Drosophila melanogaster: one gene and its partner. The protein of the gene in region 2 purifies or fractionates together with the protein of the main gene of each other region. This does not show direct contact. Each region holds a gene or a part of one and is shown on either strand. Other genes may lie near its edges.

Region 1 (11,431 bases), on a different chromosome or scaffold from region 2:
CGCCAGCGCCAGGTGCAAGAGTTCTTGGCCCGCGACGAGACCAATGAGTACGATAATCTCGACCTGGACCACGCCTACAGAGCTAAGTACTATACAGCATATAAGGAAATAGGGAAAGAACTCAACCCCGCACCGGACAGTGGGGGACGCGATTCCGGATCGGAGCATTCCCCGGGGCGGGACAACTACACCACGTATGCCGACTACTTTCTCAAATACACCACCCCACAGCAGAATTGGAATGATCTTGAGCGAGCGAATGGACTCCAGCGGGAGCACGACCGCATATACGGGTTGTTTTGGCTGAATGATCGCAGGCAGGAGGAAAAATATCGCCGCAAGTTGGCACAGAATGACCAAGAAGAACTCCCAGTTCACCACCACAAGGCGTGCCGCCATCGCCACCACAAACCCAACCACCATGCTCCCTACGATCACATGAGGCCCACGGAGGACGACATTCAGGAGGCGGACTCCTTGCCGGAGAGCAACTGATATGTCCTAGAATATTTGTCCCAATCTTGACACAATATACATACATATATTTTGAAACGCGAATGCAATGAGTGAAGATTCTTTTTGTCGTAGATCTTTTCTATCTATTTTATATTGTAACTTCTATTGGGTTTATAAAGACGGAACGTTTTTTCGTACAAAAACCCGCAGTGATCCATATTTTTGTGCCAGATTGCCTTGAGTATAAGGAACCGGCACTGATGATTGCGCAGCTCCTGACCAACCTCAGGTCGTTGACTAACGTCCCGCAGCGGCGGCAGAATCTCCTGGCGTAGATAGTGACGCATAACTCGATCGCTGCGCGCACATTTCACCAGCACGGTCAGCACTGGGGAAAGCAACTCATGCGAGCTAGCCTCGGCCTCCTGTTGGGCCAGAGATTGCCTTAGGTAGCGGAGTAGCACGTCCAGACTCCGAACATTGCGCTTTTCGAAGCACTGCGAGCAGCACTCACGGGGTTTGGCTCCCGCTCCAGCTTCTGTATCTTTTTCCTTCTCGTTGTCCAGCTCTCTTTCCTTGTGCGACTCCAACTCGGCATTGGAGCAACGCAGGGTGAGTTCTGTCAGGCAGCTGCCGGAGATGTTTGTCAGCAGATTGATGGCGTGTGTGACGACGGCGCGATCCTTTTCTGTGGCCAAGTCGCCGAAACGCAGGAGCAGCTCGCAGATGATGTTCAGCTGCTCCTCGCTAACGGAGTCTTCGCCCAGCTTGTCGTCCAGCTACTTGGTCATGTAGGTGAGGCCATTTAGATCGATTTGGAGGCGGTATCTCAGTCAGTATTCTTCATTTCGAACCACAAATTTCATTTAATCACAATAGTTTTAAAAATTCCTGTCTGTGTGGTATGAGAATGTGAATATTCAAAATTCTAAGTGTGCCTTTAGTTAAGTGTAATATTAGTTCCATGACAGCAGACCCACTAAACCCAGCCCAACCATACATATTAACATAATTCACATAACTGCCTGCCGAATCACAAATTTTCAACTCATCCAAATCCCACCACATTGCAATGAGTGCCAAACAATCGACCACGAGCCCGGCGGAATGGAAGAAGGAGCCATCTTCCGTCGAGGTGACCCAGTCGCGCAAGAACATTAAGCTGCTGGGCTCTGCACATAAGGCACAGTCGAAGGAGATCAACCACATGGAGTCTGCAGTTAAGAAAGCCTCTATTGCTTCTGCTCCTCCAGCTGCAGCTCCTCCTGCTGCTGCTGCTACTGCTCCTGCTGCACAGCGAAAATCTGTGCACATATGCCAACACAAAAATGCGGCGATCCAACGGGAATTGGCTGCCGTGGCGGCCGCGGCAGCCGCGGCTCGCCAGAAGAAAAGCAAAGTGCAATCGCAGGCACAGTCTCAACGTAAATTCCATACCGAAGCGAAGGCCCATGTTCAAACTGCGATTCAGACCCAGAAGGACAACATCAAAGATAGCCCTTCAAGGATGATACAATGGGACTCTTGTATGATTCCAAAGAATCGCTACTCAAACAAGACGTGCCAAGAGAAGAAACCCAAAGAGAGACACCATAGCATGTTCTACTTCACAAGGGATAGGTTTCCCTCAGAAGCGGAGCATCGCCAGCAGATGGAGATTTTGCAGAGGGAGGAAAGGCGGCAGATTAACCGGGAGCTCAAGCTAAAGGAGAACCAGTGCCGCCGCATTGAGGCGGAGAGCGAACCCTTGAAGATAGAAGAAAAGGTGTGTGGGCATACTGAAAAGAAGGCGGATGAATCGTTGTCGAAGGATCAGCAGAATGACTCGATAAAGCTGATCGGATCGGAGCCGGTGCATTCCCCGGGGCGGGACAACGACAGCAAGTATGCCGACTACTTTCTCAAATACACCCCCCCGAAGCAGAAGGAAAAAGATCTGGAGCGAGCGAATGAACTCCAGCGGCACGACCGCATATACGAGCTGTTTTGGTTGGATGAGCGCAGGGAGGAGGAAAAGTATCGCCGAAAATTGGAACAGAATGACCAAGAAGAAATCCCAAATGACTGCCACAAGGCGTGCCGCCATCGCCACCACAAACCCAGCTACATTGCTCGCTTCGATCACATGAGGCCCATGGAGGGCGACATTCAAGAGGCGGACTCCTCGCCGGAGAGGAGTCGATCCTTATAACTCTGATTCAATATTAATAATTAAAATTTAGTTTCAAAGCATTATGAATCGGAAAATATGTGGCTTGATTATTATAGCATGACCTTGATTGATTTATTTTATTGTTAAGCTTAGGATAGCCGTACATTTAGACTCGCACAAAAAATATTACTATGTTTTGATGTATATAAGTTGATCTACTAGTATCATCGCTATAGCAAATTGAACACAATAAAGCTCTAGATAGGATTTCTTGTATATAGATCAAAGACACGTAACTTTTAGAAAGTTTTGGAATTATTCCTTTACCCTATTATGCGGAATTTACAACATAGATTAGACATGGACATGAACAATGTGCGGATGGGATAGTTGGTTGCATGGCCGTGTCGACATCCACAACTTGATGGCTCTTCAAGTGCTCCTCACTGCCGTCTGTCATAGATAGACTTTGTAGTTCGTTTAGTTCGATTCTAGAGCTATAGTTAGTGTTACACACATGCAACATCATTTGTAATAGAAAACTGAGAATCGGAATAAGAGCTTTCATTCCTAGATCCTAAGTGTATAATTGGAATTTTATAAATATAATACATACATGCACTTAACTATTAAAATGAAAAGTCGTCCTAGTTGTCCTATAGTGTGGGCGTGTATTTAAATGAATTCAGATTTGATGTTCATCTGCTCCCTACTTCCTGAAATTGGAAGACCCCAACGATTGTTTTGCATTTAGTTATTTTTTTCAAGCCGTACGTTATGGGATGCCATGGTATCAACTTTAAAAGTGCGAACAATTCACGGGACAACAAAATAACAACGAAGTGCGTAATAACTTAATAAGTACAACGTTCTACATGGTTAATGGTTAAAGAAATTCTGTAAAAGTTGGGAGACCGAACTTATCTACGAATTGAAGCTAATTGGATAGATTATAATTATTTTAGCTAACACTAATAATAATGGCATTTAGACAAAAGCTGATCACTGAAATCAAAGCCAGATTGGATAATTTTTGGTTAACAAATTGTAGGTTATAATGAGATGTTCTCGAATATGTGGTATAAAATATATAAACTATGTAAAAAAAAAAATCTGCTTTTTGAACACATTCGAAGCTACATTCGACAGTAAACTTATGGAATAAATGCAGAGTTTAAGGTGATTTTTTGGTAGCTATTTGGAAGTTGTGCCATAGCAGATCCCGCAATACATTTGTGGCTTAGGTTTTCCGCTTCTGGTCGAGCTGCTGCTGCGGCAGCTCCTCCTGCAGCTGAAGGATGTGTTCCAGCGGCTGCGGGCGCCCGTCCTTGTCTATCATCGCCGGCTTTACGATCCCGCCCTGACGCAGCTGTTCGATGAGATTGACCAGCTGCATAGCCTCGTATTCCTTCTGCTCTTCGCTTATGTCGTCCAGATGCGACTTGCTGCGCGGCTCTACGCAGCCAAGGACTGGATTGATGCCCTGCTGCTGCTGCTTGTACTCCTCGGTGTCGCTGTCCTCGCTGTCGGAGGAGTAGTCGGTGCCCTCCACTCGCCGGCAGTCGAGTATACCCCGCTTGGCAAAGAGCCCGGCTGCGTTGCCATAGCCCGTATATTTGATCATCCTGCCGACATTTTCTTTGCACAGTACGAACAGCAGTTCGGCGGACAGATCTCGTAGGATCATCGCGGGCAGTGTAAGGAACCGACACAGATGATTGCGCAGCTCCTGACCAACCTCAGGTCGTTGACTAACGTCCCGCAGCGGCGGCAGAATCTCCTGGCGTAGATAGTGACGCATAACTCGATCGCTGCGCGCACATTTCACCAGCACGGTCAGCACTGGGGAAAGCAACTCATGCGAGCTAGCCTCGGCCTCCTGTTGGGCCAGAGATTGCCTTAGGTAGCGGAGTAGCACGTCCAGACTCCGAACATTGCGCTTTTCGAAGCACTGCGAGCAGCACTCACGGGGTTTGGCTCCCGCTCCAGCTTCTGTATCTTTTTCCTTCTCGTTGTCCTGCTCTCTTTCCTTGTGCGACTCCAACTCGGCATTGGAGCAACGCAGGGTGAGTTCTGTCAGGCAGCTGCCGGAGATGTTTGTCAGCAGATTGATGGCGTGTGTGACGACGGCGCGATCCTTTTCTGTGGCCAAGTCGCCGAAACGCAGGAGTAGCTCCCTCAGCACTCCCGTCAAATGCAAGCTCTGGATTTCGTATTCGTTGGGGCTCTTGTCCGGAGCACTGGTCACGTTGAACATCACCTTGAGCAGTTCGCAGATGATGTTCAGCTGCTCCTCGCCAACTGAGTCTTCGCCCAGCTTGTCGTCCAGCCACTTAGTCATGTAGGTGAGGCCATTCAGATCGATTTGGAGGCGAGAGCGCGCCGCTGGCTCTAATGCAGTGAGCAAGAAGAGGAGCTTCATGTCGTAGTACTCCAACGCACAGGGATGTCGCATCGAGGACGCCACCCTCTTCAGGATTGCATCCAGGCAGTGTTGCCGCAGGCACTGGCGCCTGCAGTCGGAGCTCTGGTAGACCAAGTTGCACAGACACTTAAGTGCTTCGGCAATCACCTCCGATTGGGCCTGGCTGGGCTCCAGCTGGGGCTCCTCGCGTTCCTCCTGTTTAAGCTCGTCCGGCGTGGCTGGCAGCTTTAGTGAGCCGGCCTCAATCCTAGCCAGCTTCAGCAGGGTGTTAACCTCCTGTTCGATGTAGTTCGTCTGCAGGCTGAACTCGTCACGCGTTAGAATCCTCACCGTGTTCAGGCACTGCGTATGCAGATGACTAAGCCGCTGGTCGTCCAATATGCCGAAGATGGCCAGCCACAGTTCGTGCCACAGGTTGTCTGTGCGGAAACTGTCGAAGACCAGCAGATCCGCATTCTACGGCAGAAGGAAGGGTATATAATCTGGTTGAATCTTCGGGAGAAACCGCTGGCAGTGCTCACCTTTGTGTTGAATTCGTCCAGGATGGCGGGAATGTGGTCCGCCTCCTTGGCCTCTAGTCGTTTCAGGTGCTCCGTTTCCATGTCGCCAACGGTGGCCGTTCAAAGCTGTCGTTGAGTTCGCTTTTTAGGTCGTTTAAGTTAATTTAATTAATTTTTATAATTTCCGCCAGTGTGACCGCACCTTTGCCGTTCTAATCTAATATACTACGGGGCGTTGCCAGATATCTCAACCATCGAATGCCAACTATCGGTACGCCCTTACCACTAATATTCTAAAAAAAATCGTATTCCAATCAGAAAGTTAGATAATTTAAATATATTATTTCAAATATTTAAATACAATCAAGAAACTTGAAGTTACCCATTTAAAAGAGCAATCCCCGCTTAACCGACAAAATAGTATTATTTTATATGTTCGGTTTTTCAAATGCAGCGAATAACCGTTTAATTTTCGATTTTATTACAAAAAATACATATCCAGTGTATACATTTCGCAGTGTATGTTTTGTGTAAAAATATATATATGTGTAAATATAAAATAATACGTAATATTTGGATTGTTTTTTTTTTTTTTTGACAAGTTTTCTTGTGTTTTTTCTTTTAGCTTGGCTTAAATGTTTATAGTTTGCTTTGTTTGTTGTCTTGTCTGTCTAGCATTTACATGTTATAGTAGTCGACAAACTCGACACATCTGGGACGCCTATTATAGCAGATTGGATCCAATCTCACTGGCTTCCACTTCTTCTTTTTCTTTAATTTTTAAATGCAATCGAAGGGAAAGGGAAAAGAAAGAAATAAAAACATAATAAACAATTAGAAATAAATGCTCGCTGTACGCACACACACATCTAGTATTTACTAAGAATAATATCGGTACAAAATGACGATGCAAAAGTCGAAATATAATCATTCCATGGGACAAGTATTTACTAACTAAAACTAAGCAATTGCAGTTGTCTTTTTGATTGTTTTCGTTCGTTTTTTTTTTTTTTGATTTTGTTTGTTTTGTTTTTCTAATGGTTTCGCACACTTCACATGCAAAAATGAGCAATTTTGGTTTTTGGAATTTTGGCTTGGCGCAGTCTTGTCAGGATATAAGTATGTGTATACGATTTATGCATATGGAATGTGGGCCCGTCACCGGTGCGAGCGAGATGGCGTGCAGTGTGTGAAGCGTACGACACCATGGGGTGTGAGTGGGATGGAAAATTTTTAGAAACTAGGGTATCGTGTAAAATACGTTGGTTAATTACAGCTAGGGATCGATTTTAGATTGGAACTGGAAGCCTCGCAACATGCACTTCTTAAATCCTATGAGATTTCACTGATTTTTTTATTTTTTTTTTGATTTACTTATTTTTAGATTCAAGCCGAAAAGAGCAGAGTTATGGGGAAAATACTGGGTTGGGGTGTGCGGTGCGGAAAGTGGGTGAGTTCTGGGTGTATGCCATACCACAGGGAATCATGTCAGAACACAGACGAGAGCGAGGCGAGGCGAAGGTGAGCTGCAGTTTCAAACTTGCCGGGTTAGGAAACACGAGCAACAACCACGAGCAGCTCACAGCAACAGTAACAACAACTACTATAGAACGGGTGCAGTGCTCTCTCGCTAAGTGCATCGCTTTCAGACCACGCTACTTATAAAACTACTTTTGATTATTGCCTCCTAAAGTTCCTTAATATCTACAAGTAAATGGAAATGCTTTACATGAACTGGTAAATTTGGGAAAATATCTTTTGTAAACGTGGAATGTTTGGATTTTTAAGATTAATGCAAGAAAGGTATAAAATCTACAGTTTGTGTGCAGCATTAACTGCCGAGCGAAACATCTTGACAAATTTACTAACATTAAATGCAATTTATAAAGCTCTACCCAAATAATGGGTATCTAATAGGAATTTCGCGTATAAATTTGGCTGGGTGCTAAATGCAAATCGTTTCCAAACATCTGGCCCTTCTATCCGAAATAAGCGATGCAATTAACGAGCCTACACTGCAACCGAAAGTGGATTGGGTTTGGACTAAACTGTAGCACTGGGCGGCGGCTGTTGAGCCGCCGGCGGTATGACATTCGGAATCGCCACCACACAGGCGCCGGCCCTTGCGAAAGCCATGGGCGCCAGCTCGTTCCATCCATTGCGCACCGGGTCGTACTCCTCGACGCTCTTCAGCGCATGATTGCCATCGTAGCCGCCGACGACGATCAGGCGATCGCCCAGCAGGGCACAGCCGATCGCGTCCCGGCCCAAAGCCAGTGAGCAGATCTGTGGAATGAGATGACATCGATTAGAAGTGAGGATGAGGTTGAGGGAACCACATAACCCAATCCCAGCTTACCAGAGTCCAGGTATCGGTGGCTGGGTCGTAGCGCTCCACCGTCTCCGTGCGGCAGACCATTGGATTGCTGGCCGGACAGTCGTGGCCACCCAAGGCGTACAGGAAACCATTGGCCACCGTCACCTGGTAGGGCAGGTAATTAAGAGAAAGACCACTAAGGATATGCTTAGAGGATACTCACGCCAACGCCGCCGCGTCTCCTGTTCATCGGCGCCAGTAGGCTCCATTTGTTCGTGTGCGGATCGTAGCACTCGATGGAGCGATGACAGACGGAACCATCACGTCCGCCCACCGCATACAGGCGACCGCCCAGGACAGCCACGCCGGCGGTGGAACGCATCGAGGACATGGGTGCCACATAGCTCCAAGTGCGCGCTATGGGATCCCATCTGGAAAATGTTTACTCAGTTGCACAATTATACATATATGTACATATCCATCAATTCATCAAATTCATTGCCCTCTCACCTCTCCACGGTGTTCAGGTAGCTCCAGCCGTCGTGACCGCCCACCGCATAGAGTGGACCCTCCAGCACCGCCACGCCCAGTCCATGACGGGGTGTGGCCATGGCATTGAGCGGTGCCCAGGCCATTGTATTCAGGTCCAAACTCTCTACGGTGTTCAGGGTCTTTAGCCCATCACGTCCGCCCACTAGGATCAGTTTATCCTCCATGACAGCAGCGCCGAATTGCAGTCGACGACCGGTCATGTGCTTCCACGGTGTCCACTTGTCCAAACGCGGGCAGTAGCTCTCGATGCTGATGGCGCCCTTGTGGGCATCCATGCCGCCGACGGCCAGGAGACGACCCACCGTGGATTTGCGCGGCGTTGTTCGCTCGGTGGCTATCCGGGATCGGCGCTCGGGCATCAGGTGCCACTTGAATGCCTCCATAACCAGCTGCTGGCACTCGTTGGCATTGCAAACGTTCTCCACGTGGTCCATGATAAACGCTGGCTGCAGTAGGGGCAGTCGCACCAGGGCCAACAGCTCCGGTATGTGCTGCTCACGGGCAGCGGAATCGTGGCGCACCCACGACATCAGACTGTGAAAGACATCCTGCTCCGAGGGCACATTGAGATCATCGCTGCTAAGCAGCTTGCCCAACTGATCGGCGTTCAGCTGGAAGAACTCCTGATTCTGGCACACCTGCATAAAGTACTGGCAGGTGTAGGCCTGCGCCAGACGCAGCAGCGTGGTGCAGCTCTGTTGCTCCGCAAAGAAGGCGAACCCAAGGCAGTTGGATGGATGGAGCTGGCGGGCCAGGAAGTTGCAGCAGGCGGTCACCACGGCATTCAGCTGCAGCAGACAGGCGGTGGCCAGCAGCGTCTCCACGGTGTCCTCGCGCATCTCAATGAACCCGGTGTAGCAGTACTGGACCAGCAGATGCAGTGCATCGCCGTGCACTTCACCGAGGGTCACCTCCTGTTCCTTGGTCTCGCGCAGCGATCCCGTGAACATGGCCGAGAAGTAGGCGCTCGACGCCGATAGCACCAGGCGGTGGGCGGGCACCCTGAAAGAGCCAAGTGAAATCCTTGAATTGTGGACACTTTCGCAAGAGTTAATCCGAAAAAAAATATTAGCTTGTGGTGTCACTACTTTCGTGACCGCAACTGTACGCTGGTGGGTTCTTTTCCCTTTGTTTACCATGGCACAGATCGACAGGTTTTCACGATCCAAAACCGGTTGAGTGCAGCGAAATCAAATAGAGCTGCAACTACTGCACTTGGATCGCGAATCGTTGTATCTGTATCTTTCCATGCTGCAGTTTTTGTTGCCTCTCCGTGGTGTTCGTCTTTGTTTCTGAGACGGTTACTTCCCTCTCAGTTGCGTTGCATCGCCATTGTTCGACGAACAAAAACAAAATCTACATAATGGGGACCCTCTGTTTCTCTTTCTCACTCTTTGGAGCTCGAAATGGGGATCTCTTTTGCTCCGTCTTTCTCTTCCCCTATCTTCCTATTGCAACAATGCGCACAGCAGCGGTCACAATAGAAGGACATTAAGGATTTCACTAGTATCTTTGAAACGGATAAATGCAAGTAATTTGTTATTTTTTCACTTTACCAAGATTACTTCCAATCAAGTTTATCCAAACCGATATCATTATTGATGTAATAAACAAATGGTCTGCTTATCGGCACATTTGCTGATAAGCAAACAAGCAAAAAATGAATGGCTCTAGACATAAACTATAGTGTAATTCCAAACAATGCAAAAATAAACGCTGAGAAGTTTACCATTAACGAATGCTAAGTAAACATGCAATAAAACTCGATCGATTGTCAAAATATTGCCAACAACGAATCATTGAGTATTAACCAATACTTTTGGATCTTTTTTAAACTTTGAACTTTTATAGATGCACAGCTAATTCTGTAGATATGCAGCTACTGTCAAAATAATAAAATTCACTAAACTAACTTTGTGCGTCAGCATGCTCACTGAGATAAGTGAATTAAAGCCGACCTAAAATGAGCAATTGTGCAAATAGAAATTAAGTATACACTCAAAAGTGAAAACCAGATTTGTTAAACTCTTTTTTCTTGCAATTATTTGTAAAACAGCTGTATTTGCATTTCTTGGTTGCTATTATTGTGGCCGCAGCTGCATTTCCTGGTTTTGCGTGTTGCTACTATCTTGCGTGTGAGTGTGCGCTGTTGAAATTGCGTTGGGGACAACACAACACAACCACAACAACAAAAAGCAAAGAGAGCAGACAAAGAACCCAAGTGAAGGTCAGCTGGGGCAGGAGGAGGGGAAGGCGGAGGTGGGTTAGGTGGTGGACGGGATAAAGGGGAAGCGGGAGGGAATCGCTAATGAACTTTCCAATTTGAAATGCCATATTCCATTCCTTTGTCTCCGTGGAAAGGGTATGGGGAATTGGCATTGGAAACTAGGAGTTCCATGATCCCGATCCCCGCTGCTTGCCGACCATCGTTCCAACATCGATCGCAGTGATGTGGAACGCCAGGAATCGTAGTTCCAGGATCAGAATTCAGTGCTCTCACCTCTTTCCATCGATGCCAGCGATTAGGACCACATCGCACAGCTGCTGGCTATCCACGTAGAGCTGCATCCGTTTGAGTATATTGTCCGCATGGTCTCGGCAGCGAAAGAACTCATCCTGGCTGCCCGCCGAGTTCAAGCTGCCCAGGCTGTAGTCCCGCGACAGCGATTCCAATGTGTTGTCAGCCAGCATCGATATGTGCCCGGATGTGGAGGCCGTCGAGTCCCGGCTGGGACTCTCCTTCTGGTTCACCGCCGACATGGTTCTTCTTCTGTTCTGGCTGTGCGCTCCTTTTCAGCGAAACGTCTGCATCGGATCACTGGCTGGAAGCAACTGGCTGGCGGCGGTTGGCAGAAGGCGGATCGTGGATCGCGAATCGGTGAGGCCGATGGAGGGGGTGGCGCTGAAAGGTGGATGCAACGGTAATTTGCAACAAAGAACGCTGCCTCTTGCCACAGTGCGCGTACGTCTGTGTGCTGTTGTGTTGGTGTGTTGGTGTCGCCTCCGATCTATTCCACTCGCGATCTTTG
Region 2 (11,110 bases):
GTGTATAGTGTAGGCGGATGAAGGTCGCGCATTCCCGTTTATGTAAGTTAATAATTACAGCTTGCTTTAATTTTGTAGATTGCAAGCGACCCGTTATTGTAATTGATCATTTGAAATTAAAACTAACATACAAAATATTTCCCTAATAATTTGAAACTAAAACTAACATACAAAATATTTCCCTAAGTCCCCTAGCAATCAAGTGGAGGCGCCGGAAGCGGCGCAGCGGAGAAGTGTTGATGTGGCACTTTAACCGTTCGTTAACCGCAGCGGAGACTGTGCAGACTTCTGCTCAGCATTTTGGGCACTTTTGTTTACCCAGAATCAATGAAGAAACACAAGATGTGAGAGAATCGCTTGTAGGGCAATAAATGTTTTTGCTTAAGTACTAATTTTCCTGATTCTGTTAATATTGAAGTACTTCCTTGCTTGAAGTCTTAACTAGTTCCTTCCTAAATCTACTTGATAGCTTAGTACCTAACATTGTATTAACCCTATTCGGTCTATATTGTCCAGTCTAGCTTGTTCGTACTTTTCCGGAGCCACGGTAGCTATCCTACCGAAGAACACCTCTAGGGTTCGTTTTTTTGTGACAGAGTGAACAGTGGCTCTTAGATGGCTCTATCGAGATGTTCCAGGCCCAGCTGGCCTGTCAACATGAATTCACTCCATAATAAAACCCGATATCTCTTAAGGCTCTCCTAATGTCTTCTACAGCTTTTAATGTAATTTCCCATAGCCAGTTTTGAAAATTTATCAATTGCCGTGAGCACCAGATGTCGTTCTGTCGAGTAGATGGATATGGATTTGTCCGGGGTATTCTGGCAAGGGAGTTTCTTTTATTTCTGAATGTGTGAGATGTCTGTCATATTCGCGGTCTTACACACCAAACCCTGACTCACGATAGCCGTACCTTTTTTCCACATTTTAGGAAAGTATATTCTTTCGGAGAACTGAGCTTTAATTTCCACAGCATTTCTGTGTGCTCTATTGTGTGTCCTAAGTATGTCTTCCTCCTGTTCGGCTTCGTTAACAAGGTCTTTAACTTTAGTTTGAGAGAATCTAATCTTGAAACCCTGAAAATGGATAGGGTAGAGAATTTGTATTTTCCCCATTATATCCACAACTCGGAGGATATTAATCACGAATGGGTTGAGATATTCCTTCAAATCTGACAAGAGACTAACCGGTGTGAACAATTTATGTAGGGAATGGAATGTTGAATGAGTAATTCTCTGACTCGGACTTCCTGAAGAAAATTTGATTGCACTTATCGGGGCTTCAACGTATCAGCCCATGGCTCGAACTATCGGAGAGGTGCATTGATGAGGCTACTGTGTTTATCTGTTCGACTGTCGGCCCTCTGGACAGAGCGTCGGCTACAATATTTTCTCTGCCCGGTTAATAGAAAATCTCATAGTCATATTCCTCAAGTTATGCTTTCCATCTTTAAGTCCTCGCATTCCCATTCGAACTACTCAGAGAATGGGTCAGAGGCTGATGGTCAGTAAAGATTTTCACCTTTGCTTTACCGTAAAAGTAAATGTTGTGCTTTTTTAGAGCCCACATAATGGATAACATTTCTTTCTCATTTGTGGAATAATTTTCTTCCGTCTCTCAATAAAAATGAGATTGGTCTGTTCTCTTGTGAAAGAACAGCGCCTACTCCGAAATTGGAAGCGTCCGTTGTTAGGTGAAATTCTTTTTTAAAGTCTGGGTAGTGGAGTATTACGTCTGCAGAAACCAAACTGCACTTTAATTTCTTGAAGGCTTCTATTGCTTCACTATTAGGGGAGACCGATTTTTTTAACGATAATGTCTCGGAAACTCGACCATCCTCCCCTCTCAAAAGAATAATTCTAGTGTCTTTTGCAATAAAAAGTTTTCATATTTTTATTTATTTTACAAATTTTTATTTTCTACTTTGTATTATTTTTATGAATTATTTATTTCTCAATGTAATGTCTTCTTTTTGTAAAATTTTTAATCTTTAATTACAGTAGTTATAATAATTTATATTTTACTTCCTTTAATTATTTAGTATATTTAATAAGTCATTTGACTTAATATGATTTATGTATGTTAATGATCCATTTTTATTATTTAAAATGCACATTAGATTCAGTTGTTTTTCAGTATGTTTTTTTTTTTTGTTATATTCCAATTCAATAATTTTAAAAAGCGCGCCATTTCGGGTGGGAAGAAAAGCGCGCCAATTTTTTTTGTTTTTCCTTTTAATTTCTCTTAGCCCGTTTGCTTAAAGTTGGCTATACGCAGAGCTCCTCAATTTTTTGATATTTTCGCTATATAATCGAATTTATATTGAACTAAAGTCGTTTTGTTGCAAAAGTAAAGTACGAAAAAAAATATAAGCGCAAATAGTAATTGTGATAAATAGTGAATAGTGTTTACGTATTTTCGTAATTTGACGCGCTAAAATAACGTGCTGCTGCTTTTCGACAAAGTTTTGAGTTGAAATTTATAAATTGTAAGTGAAAGAAAAAAACATTTTAATGGCCCATTTGAATAATCTTATGGATATGGCCAAGAAAAAAAGAAGATACATAAGTGGGAACAAGTGCAGCTTATCCCACTATCGGAAATCTAGGCGCGATTTCCCCGCTCTTAAATTGTTTAGATTTCCTGAAAGGGATCCAACAATGCTAATAAGATGGGCGGAAAAATGCCAATTTACAGAAGATTTTGTGGCGAGCACTTCATCACTGTTTTCGCTTATAAAAAATTGTCAGATGAGAGACAAATTAGAATTAAACATAAATATAAATGTGTAAACGGTAGCTAATTCGAGCGGCGATTTTAACAAACAAATTTAAAAAGCTTTAAAATTATAATTGTCAGGGCGCAAATTTTTAAAAATTATTTTATTTTATCATATTGCTACGAAATTGGCAAAAAAAAAAAACTACCCTAATATGTACAATGTAAATTCATTTCTTCGATCAGAATTGATTTCGGCCCGAAAATCGTCTTCTAGCACAACACGCACACATATACGCGTTCCCGTCTCTTGTTTTTACTCACACAAGCAAGCAAATTCTATTTTTAGATTTCTTACGTTCTCAGCGTGAGCGAGCGGAAAGAGAGCAATTTTGGCCGTCACCAAAAAAGTGGCTGCATAGTGCCAAACCAATGTATGGCCGTTACGCATCTTGTTATTCTAGTGTCTTTGCTCAAACTGTAGGGCAATAACTTGTACGTTCGGTAGTGGCTTGAACATGATCCAATTTGGCTTAATAATCTGGTAACTGTGCATTAAGAGTGCCCATTCGGAGAGTTCTCTTTTCTTTGAGGTATAGCTTTGGATATCCTTGCAGCTAAGCAGAGTCAAAAGGGCTGATGGTGTAAGTCTCATCTCTTGGGCGGCTTTGTCAGCGAGTTTGTCAGTTGTCAGCGAGTCCGTGGATTCCTTGATGATTGGGAACCCAGAGTAAGGTGACCACAAAAGTGGTTGAGTCGTTGACTTTAGAACCATTGGTATTAATTCAGTTTTTCTTTTTCTTTCTTTTTTTTCAGCTTTGTAGATCTGAAGGCTGTTTGAAACCCCAATGTGCATAGGCAGGGTGAGGTCAAGTTGCTTGATGTAGTCAGCGCAACGTGTTAGAGTGGATATGCATTAAAAATTCAGCTTTTGCTTGAAAATGGCTCCGAAGTCATGGGTTAGCAGGCAGTTGGACGTGGTGTACAGCTTCGAGATTAGCATCAATGTAGTTTCTTCTACGCGGAATTCCGCCAAGTTATCCAACCCATAATATAAACTCTGCCCATTTGATAAGCAAATTTCACACTCCAATCTCAACAGCATTGCCTTTGCCCTTGTTTTTGTCGCCAACACTTAGCCTGCTTTTGTCCTTGTATTGTCGCCAACACTTAGCCTGCCGCAGATTGGAAGACGGTAGTCAATTTTAAATAGCATTAATGCGTGCGTAATCGTAATATCTATGAGAGTCTTAGTTATATGTACGAATATTTAGATGATAGAAATTTAATAATGTGAAATCTAGTTTCCAGTTGTTTTCTTTGAATCTGACAGTGCTGTTTGAAAAGTAGTTTGCAGTCGAAGGTCATCCCCAAATTTTTTAAAAAGTTTACATCATTTATTGTGCGGAGAGATTACAACGTTTTTTCCGTCAAATTATAATAGTTGGCATTTTTCAATGGCAGAGAGGTATTTTCGTGCAATATTTCTAAAAATTTTGTGCTGACTGTATGAATATTTTTTATTTTTGTAAAGTGAGATGTAAATATATTTTTGCCGAGTTACAATGTTATTTATTTCTTCAATTGCAATCATAAATAAAACCGCAGAAATTGGCGAACCTTGCGGAATTACATTGTGTAAAATGTTTGAATTCGATGTGACATTGTTTATTCGAACCCTGGTAGTTCCGCCGTCCAGGGCGGCCATGCTGCACCCCGGGCTATAAGACGGATGCAAAGTACAGTACGCTGTCATCAAGTCTGATCACCGCTTCCGAAATAAAGCCTTCTGCCCAGCTCTCTTAAACAATATTAAGCTTAGCTTTAATTAGTTGACAGCCTTACAAAGAATCTAAACGAATTCCAAAAATCTTAAACACAGGTGGCGAGCACGCAAAACGGAATAAATATTTATTTATTTATTTCTCTATGTAAGCTAATGGCCATGATATTAAGATTAAGATATAAAAATATTTTTTGAATCTTACCTAGCTTTAGTGTATTGGATCAACCTAATATCGAAATAAAACAGAATGCGAATTAAACCAATCAATGCTACTGTATCCATAGCAAAAGTTAAAAATGTTTTTTTTTTTTTAATTTTCATCCCATACAGGTCATCCTATAAGGGAACGTGCCCTCTCCAAAAGTCACTTCATTAAAATAAAGTTTTAATTTTAAAGAAATATTCTACAACCAATTTTTTTATTAATGTTATTGTAACTGATTTGTTTTGTTCCCAATTAAAGAATAATATTTTCTTCTCATTTTCTTTTTATCTTATATGCTTTAAAATTTAAAATTAAATTATAAATTACATTCCTGGTAAACCCGATATAATAATTTGTTTTTAATAATTCTTTACACTAAAGAGCTGGACCTGTTGCTTATAATATTGTCAAATTGGTTCACATATGGAACCAATTTCACCGAAAAACTGATCTGTGGGAACATGGTATAACAAAGTTGACACGAATGTTTATGTTTTATATACAGGCAAAAATTATTATCACCGCTGTTGTTTGCTCCATATATAATTACAATTATATTCCTAAAGAAACGTAAATGTAATGGCTGAGAGTGTCATAACCTAATAACGATCACGTTCAGTGTCTTATTGGTGTGAACTTTATTCCGGAATTTGTGTTGCGTTTAAGTCTGATGCCATGTAGAAATAATGGTTATGGCTTTCAGATGGCAACATCGCCTTTTAATCTAATATGAGGCCTACAATTAGAATATGCAGAATTCAAAAAGTGTTTGTTTATAAATTAAAGCGAAAGCAAGACGATGAGCATCTGCTGTTAGTGTGGGGAGTGTTTGACGTATTGGTGTTCGTGTGTGTATATAGAAAGTGCGAGCATCAGGCGTTGGCTTGCCAGCGATGTCTGGCATTACATTGACCAAATTAACTCAAGAACGAATTTCCATTCCAAACAACAATGTCATCACGAACGGCGTCGAAAACAACATAGATAGTGACACGCTTAGTGGTACTCTGACTCATCTTATGGAAGAGCATCGCACGCGGGTGGGAGCGGTAACTGGACCAGAAGCAGCGACCACGTCTACAGACGGCCTAATATCGAATGGAGCAGAGCGACTGCGACTTCAGGGCAGTCGGCTTCAGACCTCGCGCTTTGCTTGCTTTCGATGTTGCGGAAATATTATCACATATCTAGTAAGGCTGCGTAGTACCCCTGAGGAACTGGAGCAGCGCTACAAGTCCAAAGAGATTGATAAGTTCCTGGAAAAAGAAAAACACACCTTTCGACGTCAGGTAAGGTGATTTAGGGATATCGATTTCTAACCCTTGCTGTTGGTTATTTTATTTAAATGTTAACAACGAAGTAAAGGAGATATTCGACAAATTAAAGTCTATGTACAATGGCGGAAAAATTATAATGTGTTTAAAATGTAATTTCTGTACAATGTTATAAGCATATATTTAATTTAAAAAGTTACGTTTTTTTGCTAACAATTCTAGAATTATACGTATGTGTTCTTAATTAACAGGACTAGGCAAGTCGGTCGAGTAGTATATATGTACATACATACATACATACATACAACAAGCGCTATATATTTGTAACCGAAAAATATAAAAACAAGAGAAATCCTATAGTTGTGAGCTCCGCAAGTATAAGATACACGCTACTTAGGTAATGGAAGACTTCCTACTTCTTGAGGCCCGTCCCGTCTCGAGCACGAAACCTAGTCCCAAAAAAAGCCCGGGGCCCTGCCCAAGCTAAACACGAACAAATTAAAAAATAAAAACAATGCAATTTTTTTTAATTTAAAGTATGTCGGTTTTCTTATATTTATATTTCTTATATTTTGTAAACAAAGTTGATTGCAAAAAACTTAATATTTAGTACAGTTTTGGTGTTTTAAACATAATTTATGACAAGTTTTTATTTAAAAATATTTTTTTTTTTAAATTAGAACATTTTAAACGTGTACATCGCTCATTTAATACAATTCCAGAGGTAGAAAATAATCTTTTGCTATTCGCTGAGCTTGCCGGAATGGCAATTCAATAACTTGAGTTCACTACATTTCCAAAATTCTAACACATTTTGGTCTGAAGTAGCTGCACAGCCATTTAAATATTTTTCTATTTCAATATCATAAGAATTTAGTTGTAACTAAGTTTTTTTGAAAAATTTTTAATCCTGAAATTCTGCAAACAGTCCTAACCCCTTTTTATCTGGGCTTGCAGTTCTTAATCCTATAAAACTCCTCATCACTTTGCATTTCTGAAAGCATTGCTTTGACAGTTACAATTACATTCTCCTTAACTTTTGGCGATAAGCAACACATTTCCTTAACGGGAGAATTTAAGAAGAGTCCAACATAATGTGCCGTTTATGGTGCACATCTTTTATGTAAAGAATTTAACGTATTATTTTTCAGCTGAATTATGGTTTCAGAATCGAGCATTTCACTGGCGCACATCTTTAATACTTTCTCCGATCACAAACAAAATAGATTTATCGATATTAGAATCCAAACTGTATTCTTCCATAATTTCCTTAACGTTATTGAGGATGTTCTCGCCTGTTAGATTGTGACAAACAAGTTTAACTTTCGGTTCTGCCTGCGGGCTTTTTTCTTAGGGCACGAAAGACGAATTTGAGGCCCGAACCCAATTTTTTTGGCAAAGGCCCGCGGGCCTTGAAATAAAGCCCGGCCCGCGCTGCATCATCATTTAAAAAACATTATAATGGTCCACATTACAAAATTTTTGCCAGGCACAGTCTATCAAATACTTTTGCAAAACGGACTTAATTGTTATAGGCATTTTTTAAAATAAATCTCCATTCAAGAACAACATTTTGTTTTTTATAAGCATGCAGAGTTTTTTTCAATGACTTGTTCAAGGGTAATAGTTTCTTGTTCACAGAAAGGGTAAGGAGTTTACTTTGGGTGAGTCAGGGAATGTTTTTAAATGTCTTGTTTTTGAAAAAACAATTGAAGATATTTCATGGAATTTCTTCACCGGCCCCAACCAGGTCTAATTTTCTACTTTGACGTGTTAGTCGATTTTTCTCGGAAACGAACAAGGTTTTAGACCGATAATTCGGTTATGAGCATAACACAAACTTTTGCACATATATTTTGTTAATCCATTCATAAAACAAATTAACAATATAAATCTTGCTCCATCTCTTATATTTCGTGCAATGGAAAGAAGAGGTTTGGACAAGAGGCTAGTTTGATTAGAAACGGTCGGACAAGCATGAATATTTCGATTCGCTTGTTCATATTGATGAATAATATACATATGTACACTGCGCCTCACCAGGTTAGCGCACCTTGAGTAAAAATCTTTGATGTGAGACATTTAGAAAACTGCTTAAGCGAAAGTTTTTGAAATTTTTTCCCTTAAAAGTTGTAAAATTTCATAAATGAAAAGTTTATATGGGATGCAGTTTGTTGTTTATAGATTTTTGTTGAAATAAAAAAGAAAAACAAAAACACCAGAAAAAAAACATCAGGATAGCGCCCCTATGACAATTTAGGTTTTTTTTTATTAATTTCGAAAAAAGTTAGATGATTATCACTTAAATGTTTAAAATCTAATATTTTTAAAGAAAACTAATAATTAGTTGCTTCTCCTTTGTTTTCAAGGACTTCACACATTCGTCTGGGAAGTGAATCATATATTTTTTCTAGGTAATCCAAAGTAATCGTAGACCAACCGAACTTTTTTCCGGTGATCGATTTCTCTTGAGTGACATATTGCTTACCACCCTCGTATACCTTCCCAGCCAACCATCCCCACACGTTTTCTATTGTATTAAGGTCCTGGGAGTATAGTGGCCATTCCATAACTTTTACATTATCGCTTCGAATCCATGTTTTTACCGAACGTGTGGACATTGTCGTGCTGAAAATGCCATTCTAGATTTCCAAAAACGTTCTTAAAGTAGGGAAATGCAGTTTTTAATACACACTTATAATCTTTCGTGTTTATTTTTGGTGTTAAAAACTTCCAATCACAGGGGACATAATAGGATACTGCGCCCCATACCATGACACCTTCAACCCGACTGTGAATAAGATCCAAAATGTGCTCCTCTTTACGCAAATCATGATAGTAATGACAATTGCCGTCTGGTTCCTCCAAATTAAATTTCATCTCGTCCGAAAATTCGACATAATGCCACTCCTTAGACCAGGTCATGTGAGCTCGAGCAAAACTCAGGCGTGCTTTTTTCGCAACTTATTAAGAGTTGTTTTTTTTTTTTGCAGTTTTTCGTGTTTTAAATGATAAGCTTTCTTAATCACCCTTTGAATTAACGATTTCAACTGCTTTTCACCACTTTTTTTTCGAATTTTGGCGGAGGACTCGTGGGAATTGCAATGTATTCGACATGGACATGCGATCTGCCGCGTTAAAGACAAGGTTATTGCCGCTTTTATAGTTCTTTCCATAAGTTTGCTCGTTTTTAATAAAATTGTCTACAGTTTTGAGATGTCTGTCGGTTTTTTCTGCAATTTTATGAAAAGGCAGCCCGCATTCAAAGAAAGCTATGATTTCGAATTTTTCCTGCAAGGATAACAGCGTCCCTCTTCTTATTTTTTCGCTAAATTAGAGCAAATTTTTCAACTTAACAGCATACAACATTGTCTCTTTGTTGACCTACCTTTCAAATTATGGAAGTTATTCAAAAGTAAAACAAAGCAGAATTAGAAAGATAACGGTTCTTCTCAGGACCTCTTTTTTATACTCAAAGAGAGAGGGAGTATCAGTAAACAAAAAACAATAACATTGATATATTTTCGTGCAATGGCTAAATACAGAACATAAAAAGAAACGGAGCCATGCAGGGGCGCTAATCTGATGACGCGCAGTGTATATACTTTATATCAAATAATTATGGTAGAAAATGTAACCTGCGTTTAAACAAATCAAAAAACCCTCTCCAATGATATAAGAAGTATGTATTAATCGCTTTGTTTAAATCTAGCCAAAACCTACAGCTTGCCTAAACAGAAGCTGGCTTCGGAAAAATCAAATTTGTGAAATTTTAATGCTGAAATCGTTTGCCCACCAATTTTTTTTGCCCACGTCCAGTTTTCGAATTTGAAATTTCGATAAGGTTTAAAAATGTTCGAAAATCAAAAAGTTGACTTTTTCACAATCACAATAACATCGTTTGCCCACCATTTAGAATTTTGAAAAAAGCTGTACTTTAGAAAATACATATAAAGGCAATATCGGTATACTCAGAGAATACGTTTGCCAAACTCATAAATTAAATATCAGCATTAAAAAACGTTTGCCAAACCATAAAAAAAATGTAGGCGATCATCTGCAAGACAATATATGCATAACTGTATTGTGAATAATTAATAATAATAACAACATAAAAATATAATAATTAAATACAAAGATGGAAATATGTACCTATGTATGGAAATATGCTTCTATACCTTTCGTCGTTTGCTTTTCTGCTTACTCTTACTTTCGCAGAGTACGAAAATGTACATACATACAAAATGGGCACTTTAGTTCCAGCAGCAACTCACTCAAAGGATACTTTTCCATATACACCTGTGTTCAATGAAATAGCAGCGCAAGAGAAACTAATAAATACACAGGTATTTTCCCATGTCCTTTTCCGGAATCGACTTTTTATTCCACTTATTTTTGTAAAATGGAATGTGTAGATAGAAAAAAAAAGAAAATCCCGTTTGTTTTTCATGTTTTACTTATTTTCTTTACATTCTTGAGCAAAATTTACAACTTTGTTCATTATTGGAATAGCAGTTTCAGTTTTTGACCTACGTAAAGTCAAGAATTTAAGCATATATTCTAAACAGAGATTTTGGTTACGTTAATTTGAATATTTAAAAGGGCAATAAATTAAAGAAAATATATAAAAACAATTCTATTTTAGTGTGTAGAGGACAGCACTGCTCCCAAGAGAATAGAATTTTAATTAGTAAGCTAAGAAAGGAAGGGAAACATAAATAAATTCGAAAAATCTTTGATTCCAATTCCATTAAATATGAATTGAAGCCCGAACCGTGGTTCCATATGTACAACCACAGATATAGAGGATCGACGCATTGTTACTTACAGCAAAGTCAATCCTTTTGCATCCTCTAGGGACGTAAAGACTGAGCTGAACTGGGAAATCAGAGATGGTATAATTTGGAGACGACTACTAAATCAAAATTTAAGTGCGAGGAGTCCACGAATGGCGCCCCTACATAGCCCAAGGCATATTTAGGCACGGTTAAACTTCTCTAAAACCTACCTAAACTGGCCAGTCAAACTGGACTGATGAGTCAAAAATAGTGCTATTTGGTGGAACTGGTTTACCATAGTATGTCCGACGACCTCCACTCACGGAGTACCACCCAAAACACCCACTCA

The links.
Region 1: the proteins of cta (region 2) and ric8a purify together in Drosophila melanogaster (affinity purification with western blotting; one study listed by BioGRID). This does not show direct contact.

The regions. Positions count from the first base shown.
Region 1 is NC_004354.4:9,250,501-9,261,931, reverse strand, and holds ric8a (ric8a), read right to left. Parts: upstream 5,765-11,431; 5' UTR 5,636-5,764; coding exon 5,555-5,635; intron 5,490-5,554; coding exon 3,849-5,489; 3' UTR 2,730-3,848; downstream 1-2,729. Other genes in the region: Erk7 (extracellularly regulated kinase 7), read left to right, coding at 1-495; CG17754 (uncharacterized protein), read right to left, coding at 6,212-6,304, 7,583-7,819, 7,893-8,015, 8,074-8,281, 8,361-9,404, 10,903-11,162. UniProt on the Drosophila melanogaster protein: Chaperone that specifically binds and folds some, but not all, nascent G alpha proteins prior to G protein heterotrimer formation, promoting their stability and activity.
Region 2 is NT_033779.5:22,976,596-22,987,705, forward strand, and holds the start of cta (concertina), read left to right. Parts: upstream 1-5,220; 5' UTR 5,221-5,602; coding exon 5,603-5,998; intron 5,999-11,110. UniProt on the Drosophila melanogaster protein: May play a role in a signal transduction pathway used during gastrulation. Required specifically for the ventral furrow and posterior midgut invaginations, where it is necessary for coordinating cell shape changes.